Nothobranchius furzeri: one gene and its partner. The protein of the gene in region 2 purifies or fractionates together with the protein of the main gene of each other region. This does not show direct contact. Links are inferred from orthologs where the notes say so. Each region holds a gene or a part of one and is shown on either strand. Other genes may lie near its edges.

The links.
Region 1: the proteins of mphosph10 (region 2) and imp4 purify together in Homo sapiens (affinity purification with mass spectrometry; 3 studies listed by BioGRID and IntAct, with this or other methods). This does not show direct contact. The link is inferred for Nothobranchius furzeri from reciprocal best matches to the Homo sapiens genes MPHOSPH10 and IMP4.

What each region holds. Positions count from the first base shown.
Region 1 is NC_091757.1:26,551,460-26,561,551, forward strand, and holds imp4 (U3 small nucleolar ribonucleoprotein protein IMP4), read right to left. Parts: upstream 5,202-10,092; 5' UTR 5,105-5,201; coding exon 5,102-5,104; intron 4,731-5,101; coding exon 4,622-4,730; intron 4,542-4,621; coding exon 4,458-4,541; intron 4,380-4,457; coding exon 4,270-4,379; intron 3,976-4,269; coding exon 3,843-3,975; intron 2,607-3,842; coding exon 2,452-2,606; intron 2,352-2,451; coding exon 2,257-2,351; intron 2,189-2,256; coding exon 2,115-2,188; intron 462-2,114; coding exon 349-461; 3' UTR 155-348; downstream 1-154. Other genes in the region: uncharacterized protein, read left to right, coding at 5,536-5,544, 5,597-5,668, 5,778-5,800, 6,041-6,132, 6,311-6,430, 6,661-6,945, 9,204-9,293, 9,462-9,487 and 1 more. UniProt on the Homo sapiens protein: Component of the 60-80S U3 small nucleolar ribonucleoprotein (U3 snoRNP). Required for the early cleavages during pre-18S ribosomal RNA processing. Part of the small subunit (SSU) processome, first precursor of the small eukaryotic ribosomal subunit.
Region 2 is NC_091749.1:64,483,287-64,493,113, forward strand, and holds the start of mphosph10 (U3 small nucleolar ribonucleoprotein protein MPP10), read left to right. Parts: upstream 1-3,453; 5' UTR 3,454-3,519; coding exon 3,520-3,605; intron 3,606-4,387; coding exon 4,388-5,051; intron 5,052-5,124; coding exon 5,125-5,300; intron 5,301-5,388; coding exon 5,389-5,554; intron 5,555-9,202; coding exon 9,203-9,344; intron 9,345-9,827. Other genes in the region: mcee (methylmalonyl-CoA epimerase, mitochondrial), read right to left, coding at 1,744-1,896, 2,222-2,550, 3,384-3,417. UniProt on the Homo sapiens protein: Component of the 60-80S U3 small nucleolar ribonucleoprotein (U3 snoRNP). Required for the early cleavages during pre-18S ribosomal RNA processing. Part of the small subunit (SSU) processome, first precursor of the small eukaryotic ribosomal subunit.

The DNA of each region.
Region 1 (10,092 bases), on a different chromosome or scaffold from region 2:
TCCTTCTTATAACATGTATTATGAGCACAAGATGCTTCCATGATTGCTTAGGAAAGGGGAAGCTACCCATTGCATCAGCTGGGGTTACATAACAGCTGAAGCAGTAGTTATCCTACAGATGGTTGTAAAACAGACGAGTAAAAAGAGGCAGTACTCAATTAAAGATATTTTATTATAAAATGGAAAGGCTGATAACAGCAGGGGTCTGACTGATTAGGTGACACCACAAATCTCGCTGATGGATGAGAAGATGCTTCTGATGAGCAAAGTTTCCAGTTTGTCATGAAAACCAGAGATCCTCCAGGCGGCTCTCCACTACTGCTCTGTTGATTCCGTCGCCGTTCCTCTCTACTGCACACTGAGGAACCTCCTCTTCTTAGCCGTGTGTGTATATGTATGGTGACGCCACTCAACTTCAGCTGTGCTCTCGTTCTCCAGAGTTCCCAGTTTGATCATGAACACTAAACACAGGAGGAACCAGTAAGTAACACATACTAAAATCATCCCACACAGTTGTACTTATTTCACTGAGAAACCATGTTAATACTATTCTTTTTGAAATACAATCGGGCTTCCTGAGTTCTTCGAAAACGCAGACCGTGAAACTTTTCCTCTAACGTTATTTCCTGCAAAAACAGCAGCAAGGAAATAGACAGGAAAATGATCAGGTCATTAAAAGCCAATCTCTTCCACCTCACAGGGAAATTTGGAATTTTTGGCCCTGCCCACCTAAAGCCGGGCGTACACTGTGCAACTTTTTCACTCGCAGCGTTCAGCTTCAGCTCAAACTGTACAACTTCCTCGCAGAGCAGATCTCACGAGCCAGGCGCTCACACTGCACGACCCAGTTCTCGGATGCGACCTGACTGCTCACACTGTACGTCTGGTAGCAACACATTAGACCTAAAATATATGCTAAAAATAGCAGTTTTTACTCAGCACGTCAAACGTTTTTGTCTTGTTTTGCCTGTTGTCCTTCGGGAGTGCTGCAGGAGGACACACAGGGATTTATGGGGGTTGGATGAGGAAAACGAAATAAAGAAAGTGAATCTGTGTTTTGTGATCAGTTTAATTTGACATGAACACGACAAACACGCTTTCTTGACAATCTTTGTGAATAAAAAAACGTGTAGAAACAAAAACGAACAGTGTGTGTTGTTAGGGAAATAGCGGGGAGCGGTGTTGATGCAGGATTGCGCATGCGCCGTGAGCGGTTCTGATACTTTTTGGGTCGCAGCTGCTCGCAGCGCCGCTTCAACAGTGCGATACCCTCACGAGGGACGAGCAAAATATTAAACACGCCAGAAGTCCATGCGAGCTCACGATTGCTGATCGGTAGCTGGTCACGTGGTGTTAATCGCCTCTCGTAACCCCCTGTACACTACACGACCGCTCGGCGCAAAACTCGCCCCGATCTCGTGGATTCTCGCACGACTGGAAAATCGGCTCAAAAAAGTGAAAAAGTCACACAGTGTACGCCCGGCTTTAGAAGTGGCTAACCATTAGCATTAGCGACTCCACATAACGGTGGAACACATTCAGGCTTGTGTTATTTGCGGAGATAAAACATCCACGCTGTATTTTCTCCTTAAGAAGAACGAGGCAGTGGAAGAGTCGTTTTAGTGTTAACCCATCAGGGGTGAGTAAGGCTCCTGTCCCCCTCAGACTGACTTCTACCACCTGAAACAGGTGTGCTAGAGCTTTTCATTCACAGAAAACACATTTTAAAAAGTATCGGTAACGATAGAGTGGCTAAAACGAGAATCTGTAGGTTAGTGGTTCGTTCCCAAGCCTCAGTGTCAAAGCATCCTCGGGGAAGATCCTGAGCCCATAGTTGTGCCGTTGGCGCCGTATAAATAGCAGCTTCCTCAGGAATGGGTTAAATGCAGAGAAACAATTTCCTCCAGGGGTCGATAAAGTATTAACTATTTCTGTAATGAATAATAATATTCTATGAATAACTTAATATTCATGCATTCAACATAACTGAGCTGGTGAACAGACGAATGGTTTTAAGAGGGACAGTAGGTGCAGAACCTGGCAGATGCATGTTGTTCCATCACCCCTGCTGCGAACCAAAGATCAGAGATGGTAAAAGCCAGATCCATACTCACACTTCATCTCAAAACGTGGTCCCACCTCCGTCAGTTCAATGTTCTTGTGGTCAGTTTTTTTGTAGGTGTGATGTCTGAAAAAAGAAACGTTTGGTTTTACAACAAAAACTTATTTCATGTGAGGAGGTCCTCTCTCACCGACCTGAAAGAGATGAAGTCCTCCTGGTTGGCAAACGTGATCACACGCCTGCTGTCCTCCTTGGGTACAGGGAACAGATACTTGAGGATATTTGATATCTGTGTGTGAACACAACTAGTTAGTTGCATAACCAACAAGGGAACAAGAATACCACGTGTGTGTGTGTGCGTGCACGCGCAGTGCACGGTTGGAGCTCACCCTTCTGCCGAGTCGTGAGGTGAAGTTGTGAAAAATGAGGTGGGGGTAGGCCTCTGACATGGTGCCGATATCAGGAACGTCGTGTCTCATCACCACGTTGTAGAGCGTGAAGTAGGCCGTAGGTCCAAACGGTAAATGGCACACAACCAGACCATCTGGAACGACACCAGAACACCAAGAGATCATTCAGAAACCATTTTTAGTTCTTTTTAAAACACCCCCCCCCCTCTTTTTTTAAACTGACCCCCCCCCCCAAAAAAATTACGTCCATGGTGGGGAGAAATTAGCTAACGACACTGATCAGAGAAGCAGACTGTGTCTAAAAAAGAGCTTGATCACAGCAGTTGCCTCCGTGCCACCAAGGATGAAAAAGATCCCCAGTGAAGCCCAAGAGTCTCACTAAAAAGTCTGTAAAAACACTCCGATCAGTGCAGTCATGTTAAGATTTCAGTCTTCTTTTTGATTTTTAAAAACATATTTTGAGATTTACATTTGTTTTTAGCAATTGTTGTTATTTAAAATGACGTTAATGATTTCTTTTAGAGAACAGATGTACTATGATCCCAAAAGAGAACACTTTATGTTGATATGTTTTTTATGAGAACAAATCTTTAATTATAATTAGCTTAATCATTTCTTTGGCCTGTATTTGATATTTTTTTAAATATTTCTCATTATATATATTTTTTTCCAAATAGTTCAAGAGATACTACAAAAAATGTGCAGTGTTTTGCATATTTATGGATTTTTCAATGGGTAATCTTATGGTTTTAAATAGTTTTATGGTGAATGTTTTCAATTAATTAATTAGAATCACATTTTAGTGATGAAAAATATTTCCAATACATTTAGTTATGGAGTATTAACATTTAAAATATTCAAAATAGTTTTTTTTTCAAATGGTTGAATTTTGTACTTGTTTATCAGTTTCAAAGTTTAATAAATCAGTCACTGAAGGCACCGTGCTCTATTTAAGGTCTTTTGTTTTTTACAACCAAAAATGGTTTTGCGCTGATTAGGGGTACTTGGCTGGAAAAAATATTTCACGGGGGTACATCAGTGAAAAAAGGCTGAGTACCACTGTTTTAGAAGATACGTCAACTTTCCAGTGATCGTGATCTCCCGAGTGCAGACACTCCCTGGAGCTCATGAGCAGACCGCGCTGCTGCCGTAACGTGCCTACCCCCGGTGTTAACTGGGGACTCTGAGCTTAGACCATCACAGGTAGTGGTGTACTTCCTAGTTTTCATACAGTTCCACAGCTTTGTGCCTTGGGTGGTGGAATCATCTGAAACTTATCACCAACACTTTTTTGATTTCTAGGAGGTTACCTGCTGAAGTCCACATGGACCAATCAGAAACCAGAATGCAGGAGGGAAACTGCAGCATACCTGGCTGTCCTCTTGTTTCGTGGATGATGATGAGGTCTGTAACTTCATTAGCTTTACAGGCTCGAACCAGAGCAGCAATCTCATGGTTTCCTCTGTTCATGCGCTGAGCTCCGGGAAACATCAGCTTCACCTCCTGGAAGAGGAACAAGAAGTTTATCATCTTCTACGAAACCCGATGTGTCATTTTCATAAAGATCTCTGCTGACGAATGTTGGCCGTTCCTTTTCTTTATCTAGACCCTAAATGTCCCAACACAGTCGTCCCCTTCTGAAAACCGGGATTATTTAATCTTTTATTAAAAGACGCTCTATCCAGACCAGGTCTCACCAGATCCCCAGAAGGATGACATTCCCCTGGACCAGGTCTAGCTACGGAACCTGAGCTTCCCTCACAGCTATCATCTAACCTTTGTGAAGGCATCACAAACCTTGGCAAACATCTTCAGTCTAGAGCTCGGGTCTCTGGACGTTGTGACCATGACTTTTGGATCTTCTACTCCGGCCCACTTGTACTCATCGTCCACATGTGAGCTGACACCTTCAGGAGGAACAGCGGATCGTTAAAAAGAGGCCCAGAACATATGTGGAGCTCACAATGACACCAGCCAACACTCACCTTCTGCCCCTTGGTCATCATAGTCCAGAAGCTTCTGCAGCTGCAGGGCTTCTCTCCGTACTTCAGTTGGAATCAGACGATTCTCTGCAGTCGAGATAACCCGTTACAGCCGGATGGCAACACAGCGCCAATCTCTCGTGATACAGAAGAAATAAAACCCTCACCCTCCAGAGCGCCCTTTATCTTCTGTTTCTTCTCCTCGATTGTTCTCAGCCGGTCCTCTTGAGCCTTCCTGTACAGGTACTCCCGCCTCAGTCTCACCTCTCGACGAAGCTACCAACACACAGAAACCACCAGCTGAGCCAGTTTCCACAGCCTCACCATAAATAACAAAAACATGAAACGCTCAGCTAGGTGAGTGCTGTCCACTCCAGCGGCATCAGAGCACCTTCACAAATCACACACACACACACACACACACACACACGTGCACACGCACACACACAGGATTTAAATAATAACCTATCTTAGGTTTTCATGGTAGACCTCCCGTTTGTTAGCTTGGCTCATGTTAGCTTAGCTCCACCAGCGCTAAACTAGGCGGGATAAAGTTAGCTTAAACAAATCGCTAACTTAGCTCTATATTCCCAGCGGACGGTTACCGATAAAACTACTAAAGATTCACACAAAACCAGTAAACTCACCATGATGGTACTGAGAAACTTCACAAGTCACATGGAAAAGAAGAACCCGGAAACACGACGAATACCTGCTGCTATTGGCTGACAGGAAGACCAATCAAAACGCCTGATACTGACTCACGAGCGTTTCATAATAAAAGCCACAGATTATTTGATTTACAAAATATAAAATAAGCATACACGTCTTCATAAGGTGCATAAAGGCTATTACATACAAAATATAGAAATAAGCAGGAGGTTTAAAAGAATTGTGTGTGTGTGAGTGTGTGTGAGTGTGTGTGTGTGTGTGTGTGTGTGTGTGTGTGTGTGTGTGTGTGTGTGTGTGTGTGTGTGTGTGTGTGTGTGTGTGGTCAGCAGCTCCAAAAACGTACATAACATAATACAAGTAAATCTAAGGTGCAATATTCCATTACACTTAACGTTTGTGCAAGTTTGAGATGAATACTGTGATTGCTCAGGAAAGAAACAGTTCCTTAATCTCTTTGTTCTGGCTTGTAGAGATCTGAAGCACCTACCAGAGGGCAACATGCTAAAAAGGTAGAAGCCTGGACGCGGGGTGTCCTTCAGAATGTTAGCTGCTCCGCAGAGATAGCAGGAACTGTGGATTGTAGACAGAGAGGGCAGCCGATGATGTTTTATGCAATCTTTCTGCAGTCTCTTCCTGTCACCCTCTATGCAGCTGCAGTACCACACAGTCATGGCGTATGTCAGCAGACTCAATGATGGAGCTTCTCCATCCTGAGCACCTTCAGAAATTGCAGCTGGGCCTTCCTGACGAGTGCTGAGGTGTTTACTGACCAGGACAGCTTGCCAGAGATTTGTATTCCACGGAACTTGAATGACTCTACTTGCTGTACACGTTCACCATTGATGAAGAAAGGGGCGGGGTCCACTACGTTTCACCTGAAGTCAAGGACAAGTTCCTTGGTCTTGGTGGTGTAGAGTGTCAGGCTGTTTGATGCACAACACTCAGTTTGTGGACCTCATCCCTGCAGACCGCTTCACGTCCCCCGTAATCCGCCTCACTGTTGGCAGTGAACCAATCAGAATGTCAGAAAGCAAATGGCTGTAAAGAAAAGTTGTATTCAAATTACACTTATTAAAACGTGAAGGTGCCTTGCTTTATGAGAAGCAATGATATGCTCTTCCAGCAAGAGGAAACAAACAGAAGCATCAGTGGTGATGATGTTTCCTGTTGGGTCTAAAGATAAGGTTTGGTTATCTTTAAAACCCTTTTCCACTTGACTCTTTCTCTTCATCAGGCAGACTCGAGCTACTCAGCCAGTGGCCGTGACATGCATTATTTTATTGTGATTTTGTTTTTACTTACAGGTAAGAGTCAACATTGTAATGATAATAGATGGTAAACTGCTTTAAGTAGAGAACTTTAAATGGGATCAGTCAAGTTTACTGATATAATAAATGTATTTTAGATTTTTTTAAGCAAAGCTTTTCTAATGTTCACCTCATCCACTGGCTGGTGAATTAATCTGAAACAGACATGTAATAATAATGATGATGATGATGATGATGATTTGACAGCAGTTTCTTACTGTTTGCAGGTGATGGGGCAGCTGTTCTTTGGCAGAAGCTGTGGTGTCCCCATGAGCCACAGCACCAGAACCTGCTGAGGGTCTGGTGCCGTCGAAACTCAGCAGACTGCTGCACCGGGCTCACCTTCAGCCACACAGCCCAGTCAGTGGATGGAGGCCGGCTCAGGGTGACCCAGGACTCCGGGTCCTTCAGTGTGGAAGTGCTGGGGCCGGGTAAAGGAGGAGTGTTCTGGTGTGGTGTTCTGAGCAGAAATAACACCATCATCAAGCTGGCTGAAGGTTACATCCACAGCTGTGAGTAAACATCTTCAGGTCCCACTTCTGTTCAGTAGTAATTAATAAAAGTCTGATGTCATAAGCGCCGGCAGGGTGTGAATAATAGAAAGTGTTTGAGTGCCTAGAAAAGAACTATATAAATGTAATTTATTATTATTAATAATAACAATAACATCCATCCATTGTCTGAACCCGCTTGTCCACGTGGGGTCGCGGGGGTGGGGGGGGCCTGGTGCCTATCTCCAGCAGTCAACGGGCAATCAGGAGGGGTACACGCAGAGACACACAGGACAAACAAACAATCACTCACACACACACACACACACACACACACACACACACACACACACACACACACACACCAACCAACCTAACTGTCATGTTTTTGGACTGTGGGAGGAAGCCGGAGAACCCGGAGAGAACCCACGCATGCACAGGGAGAACATGCAAACTCCATGCAGAAAGATCCCAGGCCGGGAATCGAACCCAGGACCTTCTTGCTACAAGGCAACAACTCTAACCACTGCGCCACTGCGCTGCCCTATAACAATAATAATACTATTATTATTATTATTATTATTATTAACAACAGCAATAAACATCCTAATGTTTGGTACCATTTAACATCCATACAAGAAACCTAACAGCAAATAATATTTTAGTATTATTTTATTCATTTGGAACAATAAAAGTTACACAGTAAACATCCTCCTAGTTTTGTGTTTGTAAACAACATATTTGGGACCGAAGTGGTCGTAGAAAACGCTGGACCACAACACCAGAGTTAAGACGTTAGCTCTTATTACCTAAATCCATCTGGTGATGTAAGAACTTAAAAAGTCTGTCCTTATTCTAGAGTTAATAAAGATCAGCTGTTCATCACAGATGTTGGGTTACTTAAAAGTTTTATTCAGTTTAATCAAAAGTTGTTCGCTCATTAACACTGATGCAGAAAGTGAAAATCAGAAAATGATGATGGTGGAAACGAACAATTATGAAGTCATCCGTTATATTTTATTGTGTAAATCTAGGACACATGAACACCTGCAGCACCTAAAGCTTCCACCAGAGGGCAGAAGACTGGCACAGGACTCAGTCCAGCAGGTTTTAGAGCAGATGTCCAAACTTCTCAAGATGAGAGTAGAAATAAAAAAGCTGAAACTGTTTTTTATTTATTCTCATGGGTCAAAAATGATTAAAATAGCCATAATAGTAAAAATCTGAACAAAGAAATCATAAAAAGTGTTGATCTACCCCAACAGCCTGCTGGAGGGACACAAATGGCCCCCGGGCCGTGTTTTGGACACACCTGTTTTAAAGGCCCATTAGTCATCACACACAGGTGAAGCATGTCCTCTGTGGGAGCAGTGGGAAATGATCTCCCAGTTTCTGTCTTTTCCACTTATGTTTTTGTTCGTTTCATTAACACGAGGTCGTATCTGGTACGTTAGTAGCTGACAGTGATGTGACTGTATCTGTGTCCAAATTCAGGGGCAGCATCCTATTAAGGACCCGTCCTACATAATCCACATAGGCCAAGTCCTTCCTAGACTGCTTTTGCTTATTTTTGACAAAAATGTTTAAAAACCCAAATGTAAATGAAGAATTCCTGCCAGATATGAACACACCATTTGAAACTGTAATCCTCCTGCTTCATCCTCTACTTTTACTAAAACAGAGATCTCCCATTCAGCCTGCGGTAGACCCTGGGACGGCCTTTGCCAATAACTTGTCCTTGAATTTCTGGGACATGAGGACACATTTTGAGCAGATTTTGGATTTGGACGATCTAGATGTTTGCTGTGACGTAATCTGCCATAAAAAGCGTACTCAGAAGGACGCTGCCTCTGGGTTTGGACACGGACGCCGTTTTTACCTTAAAATATCCGAAAAATAAAGATGGCCACCACAGTAAATAAACAATTGGTTTGAAGTTGAGAGATGTTTGTCTTTGGCTTAAACCAGCAGTGAATGGTGGTGTTGGGTATCACATCACATGGTAGGCACCGGCTTCCTCAGAACGTTCTAGCTGTATTACTTCTGGTCTCCTGCTCGCCTCTCCAGTCAGACACGGGTTCATATGGGGCTAGACCCGTGCCAAAACCACGTGCACGGGTTTTGGCACGGGTCTAGCCCCATAGTATCGGCTGCATCACCAGATGTGTCCTCCAGTCTCATTCGGCGTTGTAAACCTGAGACCGTCTGTGGTTTAAACAGCTGCTGACAGACGGTGTGTTTGTGTGTATCTGACCTACCCTGTGCTCTACACCACGCAGCCTCAGCAGCGTTCATCTGGAGCTTTGCTCGCTGGGTCCTTCTTCCCCTGCTCCCCATGACCACCATAATCATCTACACCTGCTCCAAAGGTACGTCTCCACCAGGAACCTGTCGCTTCACAAGGAGGCAGCTTGGTGCAGAAGCTCTGTTAAAATTTTTCATTTTCACTTTTCAGATTAAAGGATTTTTTTAGACTTTTTGTTGTTCTGGTTCAAATACCGAGACAATAAATGAAGTTGATGCTTTTTCCTTCACAGCTAAAGTTCAACGCTGCTGCACGAAGGTAAAATGTGGCTCATATTTTTACATGTAACTGATTTAGTGCTAGCTAACACGTCTCACATTGGGAGTGTCACCGTTTGTTTTCAGAGAGCAGAGGAGCCGGTGAGCGGATCTCTGGCTGATCCGGAGTCTGCAGATCAGCTGGTGTCCAGTCCAGAAGTGGTCACAACCCGTTCTGAAGTCTGACAGACAAGACCTTCACTGTTTTAAGAAATAAGTTTGTATTTATTGGACAAACCAAACTCAAACAGGTGGAAGGTGTCAGAAAGTAAACAAAGGTCCAGAACCAAACAAAAGCAGCGGAAACAGGATTTCCTAAGTTGAACTCGTTCTGAAGGGTTTGACCGAGTCGTTTCAGGGGGATGGTTTCCACGAGACGGGGGCTTTGCTCGAAACCATCATCAGCATTGATCCCACTACAGCCCAGAGGAGGAGGCTGCCGCTTCACCTTTAAACCAACAGATCCTTAAAAGTCAGACAGGAGAACACGGGCTGTGTTTGTTTTGGTTTATGGGAGCTTTCAACTGTTTGATGATTGCTGGTAAAATAAAGATTTGAGCTGATTTCTTTCCCACAAACAGCAGGATGAGTCATACAGCTTCAGTA
Region 2 (9,827 bases):
ACTGGACTTTAACTCGGTAGGGTCGAGGGGGGCTGGTTCCCATTCCCAGCAGGCGAGGGGCCGGGACACCCTGGGCATGTCACCAGTCCATCAGGTTCACACGCACACACTGGTCGCTAGCTCCGGCCCTGGGGCCAGAACTTTCTCATGGTCCCTACGACCCGCTTTAGAACCTGAGACATGGCATTTGAGGCCGTGGCCCCAAAACTGTGGAAAGCCTTGCTGACTAATTGTTCATTTAGGATGCAGCTGAAAAAGCTTCTTTTCAGACAAGCATCCCCCGTCTCTTTTACCTTTTATTAGAATTAGTTTTTAATGTATCACTTTTATATTTTTACCGTTTTTGTGAAGCACTTTGTGATTTTATCTGTGAAAAGTTTTCTAGAAATAAATATCTTCTTCGGGACAATGTCGAGTCTCCATTAACCTAACATGCATGTTTTGGTCTGTGGGAGGAAGCCAGAGCACCCTGGGGAGAACATGCCAACCCTGCAGAAAGACCACAACCGTTCCACCATAATGTGCTTTCTTTTGAGCAAAGAAAAGAAAATGCTGATATCAAAGATGAATTTCTACCCACTAAAATCATTCCTCCTGGTGAATAAACAGGCTTTTGTTTCTACGTGGCTACGGCACCAGTCTAGGATCTGTTTTTGTCAACACCTTCAAAAATGCTGCAGCACAACCCGGGATCACAGCCTTAGCCTCTGTATACAAGGTTCCTCCTTTGTTTATGACATCTTGATTGTTTTAAGCCTTTAAATGTACTTTGGTATTTTATTCTGCATCAGTTACTGAGGCCAGGTGAGAAAATGTTCCTGATGTACGAAGAGGCATATTAAAGCGCAGAAGAGATCAGGCTTCCTTTGTAGCTTAGTCTACAGCTTAGACTTTCACATCAGAACCCTGATGTCAACCCTAACCAGAAAAAAACTCACATTTTTCAATCTGTCACAAATAAAACAGAATGAGGTAAATATTAACAAGCTTTTGGGCTGCATTTGAAATTGTTTTCTTATCCTTATTGTTCCGGAATAGATTAAACATGAAGCATTCTACAACTTGTTTTTCTTTTACAGCACATCAGTGTGTGTGTGTGTGTGTGTGTGTGTGCGCGCGCCATGTGCCCAAGCCAATAGCGATGGCAAATTTAATTTCAAATGCAGTGCAGAGTTTTTACCTGACATCGGCACAACACTGAGTTTTAGGCAGAAAATTTAAATATTAACTAAAATGCAGTTAAGTGCAAAACTATTGACTACACGTGTCTGCAGCACGATTAGACACACATTTATATAGTTTATCAGAAAAAAAGTTGATTTGGGGGTGACTTGCTCTTTAAATTACATTTTAAAATCTGCTGTTTTATGTTCTTGCTCCTGGAAAACATTTTGAATTGCTTCTCTGTATGAAGTGTTCGATATAAATAAAAGATGCCTTGGAACATGTGCAAGGTACTGTTTATCCGTATTTGAAATATGAGCTGTAAAACATGCTGTTGTGTGAAACCATGTTACTAGATTGTTGCTGGACAATGAAGAGACAATAAAGCAAGCACACACCCACGAAAGAATCCCTAAGCAATGCTTTGCAAGAGCTTTTATAGAAATGGTCACACATCACACTAGACCTAAGCCAGAACAAAACAGGAACATCACAACCAGCAATCAGCACTCGCATCCCTGCAATCATCTAAGTAATGATGGAGTAAATGGACACGAAGGCGTCTTCGGTCCCCGACGTTCACGCTTCTTCTAACTCCACCAGCACCCCGTCACAGTCTTTAGGATGGAGAAACATGACCGGCTTCCCGTGAGCGCCTATTCGCGGCTCCGCTGACAAAGTTCTGATGTTCTTTGCTTTCAGATCGGCCACTGCAGCATTAATGTCATCTACCTGCAAACAGGCGGAAAACGTAGTTAATCATTAATCTAACTAGAATCACTGGGTTACTACCCTATTGAACCTCTGAGTGGGAAAAGTACAGCGTCAACACAAAATCACCCGTCATTAACCTCTTTTAATTTCACAAAATTACACACAAACCCTTTATGAACTATTATGGACTAGTCCACTAAGGTGTATCCGTGCTGCAGACTGTTTTGCTCCTGATGTGACAGGAAAGATGTCAGTGGTTTAATTATAGTTGCATAAATCAGTATGTTATTAGCGGGGTAAATATGTGTTGCGTCTTCTGACTCACGCCGTCGATGTCTCTCACCTCGATACAGACATGGTGCATCCCTCCGGACTTGTTCTTCTGTAAGAAACCAGAGATGGGGCTCTTCTCCCCCAGAGGATGGAGCAGCTCCAGCTTGGTGTTGCCCAGCTCCACGAACACCGTGTAGACACCGTGCTCAGGCAAAGGCACCTTTTCGCTCACCGTGGCTCCGAGCACATCGCGATACAAGGCCGTGGCCTTCTCCATGTCAGGGACGGCAATGGCTACATGGTTCAGCTTCCCCAATTTCCACAGAGACCCAGGAAGTGGCGCTGTCGTCGAATGTGACCTCAGGAGGGAAACGCCAGAACATCTGGAAATTCCTGCCACTGAATAAACACAATAAAATAAAAATAATGTAAAAATAATTAAGAGCTGAGCTGTTTAGATAAACAGCATTAGATACTGAATAAACCACTATCACTTCTTTAAATGGATATATTCCGGATACATTTTAATGTTTAATATTTACACAAAACTCCTTAAATCCAGGAAGCACCAGGGATATGAAACGTACGGTTTTGGTGAATGTTTTTGTACCACAGACGTGAATTTATTTAAAAAATGTACTAAACTGTGTCACATACATGATTCAGGAAACAATTTATAATTTAAGATATTTTAATTTGAGATACTTGTATGTGTGTGTGTGTGTGTGTGTGTGTGTGTGTGTGTACATACTGAGGACCATTTTGACCATTTTCCCCACAAATTGAGGACATGTTTTGGTCCTCGTTTTTTTTAAGCTTACCAGTTGGTTTTTGAGGTCTGGTGTGAATTAAGTTTTGGTTAAGGTTAGGGTTAGGAACAGATCAGCATTGGTTATGGTTAGGGTATGGGTATGAGTTAGGCATAGTGGAGTCACATAAATGAATGGAAGTCACTGAGGGTACTCACTACGATAGAAAGACAGACAATATTTATAGAAATGTAATATTTATAGAAATGTATTCATAAAAACATTTAGTTTTGACTGTATCTTCTCATTTTTAACCTGAAAACGCAAAAAGAAAGTAAACACAACACATCGCGAGTTGCGCTTAAGTCGAGAGAGACGATTTGGAGAGCAACTATCGGCAACTATACACTCTTATTTGTCAAGGCAGAATGCACCGGAGAGAAGCCTGACTGTAGCAGTTAGCTTTTATCGATATAAACAAACCTGCAACCTTCAGCAGCGACGTCGCCATTTTCATTATTATTTTGTTTTTACGTAGGAACCAATCTGTAGCGGCGGACGCGTTTCTGGTCGGGCCTGTTTACCTGCAACACTTTCGGCTACACATGTGTAGGAAAACATGGCGGGTGCAGAAATGTGGGCCGTACTGGAGGATTGTGTCAAAACGATAAATGTTAACACGGCACAACCAGAAAACTTTCTAAGGCGAGTGTTCTGCATTATTTTACTAAAGTTTTATTCTTTTAAACGAGATATTTACTTGACCAATCATCGGCTAAAGCTAAATGCTAATGCTAGCAAATACTTTAGAGAGCTGTTAGGTTAAACTTATTTAAATAAAATAGTTGAGAACGGCTTTCTTTCAGATTTAGAGTCACTTTTTTTATTAAATTAAATGAAAGAAAATGTCATTTTATTAGATTTGACACAATCGGTGACAGCTAATATCGAAAATTAGGATTTATTTGGTTTTATGATCTGTCTCTGACTAAAGGCTGTAGCTGAGTGACACCAACAGTACAGCAAGCTAATAATAATAAAACTCGAGATATTGTGAGACGAGAGGTTAATCCATCCGTGAAATAACATTAACCTGCTAGATTATCTGAAGTAACTGGACAGTGGTGCCTCAAAATGATCACATAGTCTTATGGTCTAATTTGATCTGGATGTGTCTGTTCTCGTTTAAGGACCTAAATGCTTATGTTGCCATACAATATAACTAAAACATTTAAAACTATGATTTACAGACAAAGGTTGTTTGCATGATATCCAAGATTTTGTCCTTTTTTCCTTATTTAATTTTGCTTTGATGATTAATTTCTAACCATTTTCACCATCATGAGTTTTGGTAAACAGCATGGATGTTGTATGATAGTTGGCTGTCACAGATGAAAGCTGCGCTGAGTTCAAACCAGTGGTCATTTTCAAAAGAACCTCTTTCCCTGCAACACGTTTGTCTCACTGATTGTTTTTCTACTTTTCAGCCTTCAAGATGGTGCTGCAGCAGAATTTACCTCCCTCACGAAGACCCTGTATGACCTCCACAAATCCCAGGAGCCTTCAGATTGTAAAGGCAGCCCGCTGGCTCAGCTCATTGTGGACAACTTTGACGAGGAGCAGATTTGGCAGGAGCTAGAGCTCCAGAATGAAGCTGTGCTGACATATTTCACTAAATCTATTGAAGGAGCATTGTCAGATGAGGCATTAACTTTGCTGCCAGAGGAAGAGGTGGTAGAAGATGAAAAAAGTGGTGATGAAGGCGAAGAAGAAATGAATAATGATGAAAATGTAATTAAAATTCCTCCTAGAATGCAAAAGAAAAAGGCTGTGGAAGCTGAAGAAGGGTCAGAGCAGGGCTCAGAAGATGACTCGGATATAGATTTTGATGTGGATGCTCTGGAGAAACGAGAGAAGAAGAAAGCGAGTGCACGGGCAGGCTCCAAAACAAAACTGGTTCCCTCAGAAGTTGACGATAAGTTCTTCAAACTGTCAGAAATGGAGTCATTTCTTGATGAAATGGACAAGCGAGAAGGAAGAGAGGAGGATGGCGACAACAATGTTGACTACTTCCAAGACCTGCACTCGGATGAGGATGACGATTTTGACCTCGGTGAAATACTGTCCTCAAAAAAGCCGAAGAAACACGCGGTATGATTTTATCACTCATCACTTTGGGCTCTGATCATATGGAAGAGACAAATAAATGTTTATTTTCTAACAGCAGGTAAAAAGCTCCAGAGATCTCAGGTACAAGGACTTTTTTGGTGCTGTGGGGGGCAAACCAGCTAAGACTGATGACCAGTCAGATGGAGATGATGATGCGAGTGAGGAAGAGGATGAAGAAGAGTTGGAAGAAGAAGAAGATGGTGATTATCGTGATGAAGAGGACAACGATGAGTGAGTCGATCTGGGTCTAATTTGTGCTGTGGTGAGGGGGGAAGCTTGTTCTGTGAATTCCAACTCATTAAAAAAATGTTTTCCTCAGGGATGAGCAAGAAAGTCGCTCCAAAGCAGCTCACAAGAAGGTGACCTTTGACCTCTCTGGAGAAGAGAGCAGTGAGGGGGAGGACATGGAGGAGATTTTTGGAGGAAAAGCTTCAAGTTCAGAAAAATCCGAATTAAAATCATCTTTTGAGAAACGGCAGGAAAAGGTAAAAGTTTCTCCACGGCTTGTTTTGCAGCAGAAGCTTCAGGATGAGAGGTCAGGTCACCTGGGCCCTCATTCATAGAAACTCTCCTATATTCCTGAAGGACATTTAGAATGTTCCTACGAAAATCCAAAATCCTGATTCATCAAACCACTCATGCACACCTTCCTCCACAATCAACTGTTGATAGATCCCACCTGTGTGTTCCCAGGTGCCCGTTCAGTCGTTTACATGCAGAAACGCCCTTAATTAACAATATTTGGTCACGGCACATCCTCAGCTCACCAGGGGAATCCCTGTAAATCAAATTATTGGAAGCAAGATCGCGGCACTGGCTGCTGAAGTAGAATAGAACCAAACAAGTTGCAGAGGTTGTAAATGCAGTCAGGACAGAGGAGAGGATCCTGTCAGAAATGAAGAAAATTGGTTCCACTTAAAATTAAATATGAAAAACACAAGAGTAGCGGACTGTTCGTTTTATGTAGTTATTTGCAGTTTACAGGGAGTGCAGAATTATTAGGCAAGTTGTATTTTTGGGGAATAATTTTATTATTGAACAACAACCATGTTCTCAATGAACCCAAACAACTCATTAATGTCAAAGCTGAATGTTTTTGGAAGTAGTTTTTAATTTGTTTTTAGTTTTAGCTATTTTAGGGGGATATCTGTGTGTGCAGGTGACTATTACTGTACATAATTATTAGGCAACTTAACAAAAAAACAAATGTATACCCATTTAAATTATTTATTTTTACCAGTGAAACCATTATAACTTCTCCACATTCCCAAATATACATTTCTGACATTCAAAAACAATACATAAACAAATCAGCGACCAATATAGCCACCTTTCTTTGCAAGGACACTCAAAAGCCTGCCATCCATGGATTCTGTCAGTGTTTTGATCTGTTCACCATCAACATTGCGTGCAGCAGCAACCACAGCCTCCCAGACACTGTTCAGAGAGGTGTACCGTTTTCCCTCCTTGTAAATCTCACATTTGATGATGGACCACAGGTTCTCAATGGGGTTCGGATCAGGTGAACAAGGAGGCCATGTCATTAGTGTTTCTTCTTTTATACCCTTTCTTGCCAGCCACGCTGTGGAGTACTTGGACGCGTGTGATGGAGCATTGTCCTGCATGAAAATCATGTTTTTCTTGAAGGATGCAGACTTCTTCCTGTACCACTGCTTGAAGAAGGGGTCTTCCAGAAACTGGCAGTAGGACTGGGAGTTGAGCTTGACTCCATCCTCAACCCGAAAGGCCCCACAAACTCATCTTTGATGATACCAGCCCAAACCAGTACTCCACCTCCACCTTGCTTGCGTCTGAGTCGGACTGGAGCTCACTGCCCTTTACCAATCCAGCCACGGGCCCATCCATCTGGCCCATCAAGACTCACTCTCATTTCATCAGTCCATAAAACCTTAGAAAAATCAGTCTTGAGATATTTCTTGGCCCAGTCTTGATGTTTCAGCTTGTGTGTCTTGTTCAGTGGTGGTCGTCTTTCAGCCTTTCTTACCTTGGCCATGTCTCTGAGTATTGCACACCTTGTGCTTTTGGGCACTCCAGTGATGTTGCAGCTCTGAAAAATGGCCAAACTGGTGGCAAGTGGCATCTTGGCAGCTGCACGCTTGACTTTTCTCAGTTCATGGGCAGTTATTTTGCTCCTTGGTTTGTCCACACGCTTCTTGCGACCCTGTTGACTATTTTGAATGAAACGCTTGATTGTTCGATGATCACGCTTCAGAAGCTTTGCAGTTTTACGACTGCTGCATCCCTCTGCAAGATATCTCACTATTTTTGACTTTTCTGAGCCTGTCAAGTCCTTCTTTTGACCCATTTTGCCAAAGGAAAGGAAGTTGCCTAATAATTATGCACACCTGATATAGGTGTTGATGTCATTAGACCACACCCCTTCTCATTACAGAGATGCACATCACCTAATATGCTTAACTGGTAGTAGGCTTTCGAGCCTATACAGCTTGGAGTAAGACAACATGCATGAAGAAGATGATGTGGACAAAATACTCATTTGCCTAATAATTCTGCACTCCCTGTATATCCAAGGGGCTGAATGCAGGTTCTGTTTGTTCTGGTTTTTGTAGTCAACGATCTGATATGGACCGGTATCAGACCCATGCTTTTTTTTTGCTCCAAAAGAGGAATGATGTCCTTCAGGATCAGTGCGCTCATGGAAAACGTGTCCCCTCCAGAGTGAATGCCCTACCAAATCCTCTAATAACACGAGATCAGCCATGCTACAGTGTCAGCTTCCTGTTGGCCACAGGTGCTAGCATTCGTTATGTGATGAAGCCGTTTTTCAGCCACAGTCACTTATTGCTAAAATAATTTCTGGATGAGGAACAAACATGGATGACTGAAACCTTCAGTGTTGCAGTTCTGCTGTTCTACCACTAGATGCTGTTTGTACGCAGGCTCAGAGCTGTTCTTACATTTAGAAATATTTTCACACACAGGTACAAAATAGGGAATACCAAACAATGCGTGAAATTGTTTCTAAGCACAAAACGCACACAGACCTGTGCGTAAACACGGTTGATGAATTCAGGCCCTGTAGCCTCTGAGCTGTCCAGATGATTTAAGGTGGGCCTTGGACGGGAGCAGGATCTCTCTGAGCTGCTGCTGTCGGTGACAAACGGTGAACATCATCCCAGAGGGAGGTTGAAACACGGTGTTCTTGTGAGTCTCAGGGCCTCGCTCTTGTGCGCCTCGAGTTTTAAACATGTCGGCCAGATAAACACTCCCTCTCGTGCCAGAGTCGTCGCATGCATCTGGATCCCATGTTGAATCCATCTTAGCTGCTTCTCACTTTAGTTTGCAGGATGGTGAGACTACTTTGGGAGGGTTTATCAAATAAAATGAGGTGAATTTGTAAACAAATTGAGACATTTTCTGACTAAATTACTAGGGATGCACGATGTATCAGCATCAATATCGGTATCGGCCGATGTCAGTCATTTTTTAATAAATCGTTCCGATAAATTAAACTGGCCAACATTAACAACCGGTATTGTTCCCATCTTGTTTACGTTTGTTTATCTGTTTCAGTCGTGTGACAGTGATTGTAATCATCTCAGAAGCGTAAATGTGTGTGGTGTGTGTACGTAATAACGTCAATTCAGCTATAATCATTTTCATCCTGCTGATTTTAGAAGCACTAATGTCAGTATATCGGTTATTGGCCATAACTGTGATATTAATATCGGATATCGATTATTGGCCCAAAAACTTCACTTCGGTGCATCACTATAAATACATGACATTTTGTACAACAGTCGCAGTTTGTTTGCCCCACATGACGTGTGTCTTGTGCACCAATTCAGTGTGATTCTGAAATATGAGAGTTTTCTCATAATTTGGTGTTTTCATGCAGTCGCTAACAAATGCAGCCCAGTGAGATTCTGGTTGGAATCTGTTGCCAGGGCCTTAACCCTCCACCAGGCGGAGACAGGCCCCCAGAGCCCGCATTCACTCCTCTCTCTTTTCTTATTTGCTTTCAATTTTCATCCTCTTTTACGAACATCAGTCTTAACCTCTCTCAATCTGTTTTGTTGCAAAAAAACGCACAGTTTACCTGCAAGAGTTTAAAATGGTATCAACTGGAATTTTTTTAATCCACCTTGTAGATGTCTCAGAAAATCCAAGATTTGGAAAAGGCGGCTCTGGCGGAGAAGCCGTGGCAGTTGTCGGGCGAGGTGACGGCACAGTCCCGTCCAGAGAACAGCATGCTGGAGGAGGACGTGGAGTTCGAGCAGACATCGAGACTGGGTGAGCAAACCTTCCGGTGTTCGCTTCTGAGTCTGTGGATTTCTTAAAACCAAACTATGCAACTTTTTCATAATTGTAAATCATTTTCTTGAGTCGGTATGTGCTAAAACAACACAGGGTTAATGAAATGTCAGACCCCTACCGCCTTCTGTGGCCAAAAAAAAAAAATCACACTTGCAACTTCAGAGTGCCGGTCCAGTCTCTGTTGGACTTAGTAAAGTGGAGCTGACATGCCATTGGCTGCAGTCTGCTTCCAGCATGTTGTCCTCCATGTTTTAGATCGTGAACACAGCTGATTCATTTAATTTAGTTATGAATCACTCCTGTAGACAGTAAGGAAGGCTGAGGAGACATAATTTTTGGTTCTACTTTTTGGAGACTAGGGGGTGCTAAAAGTAAGCCAAAACTTACAAGGCATGGGTGGAGACCATGGAGACTTATTTCATCCACACTTCATGTTAGGAAAACACTTCTGAAAGAGGC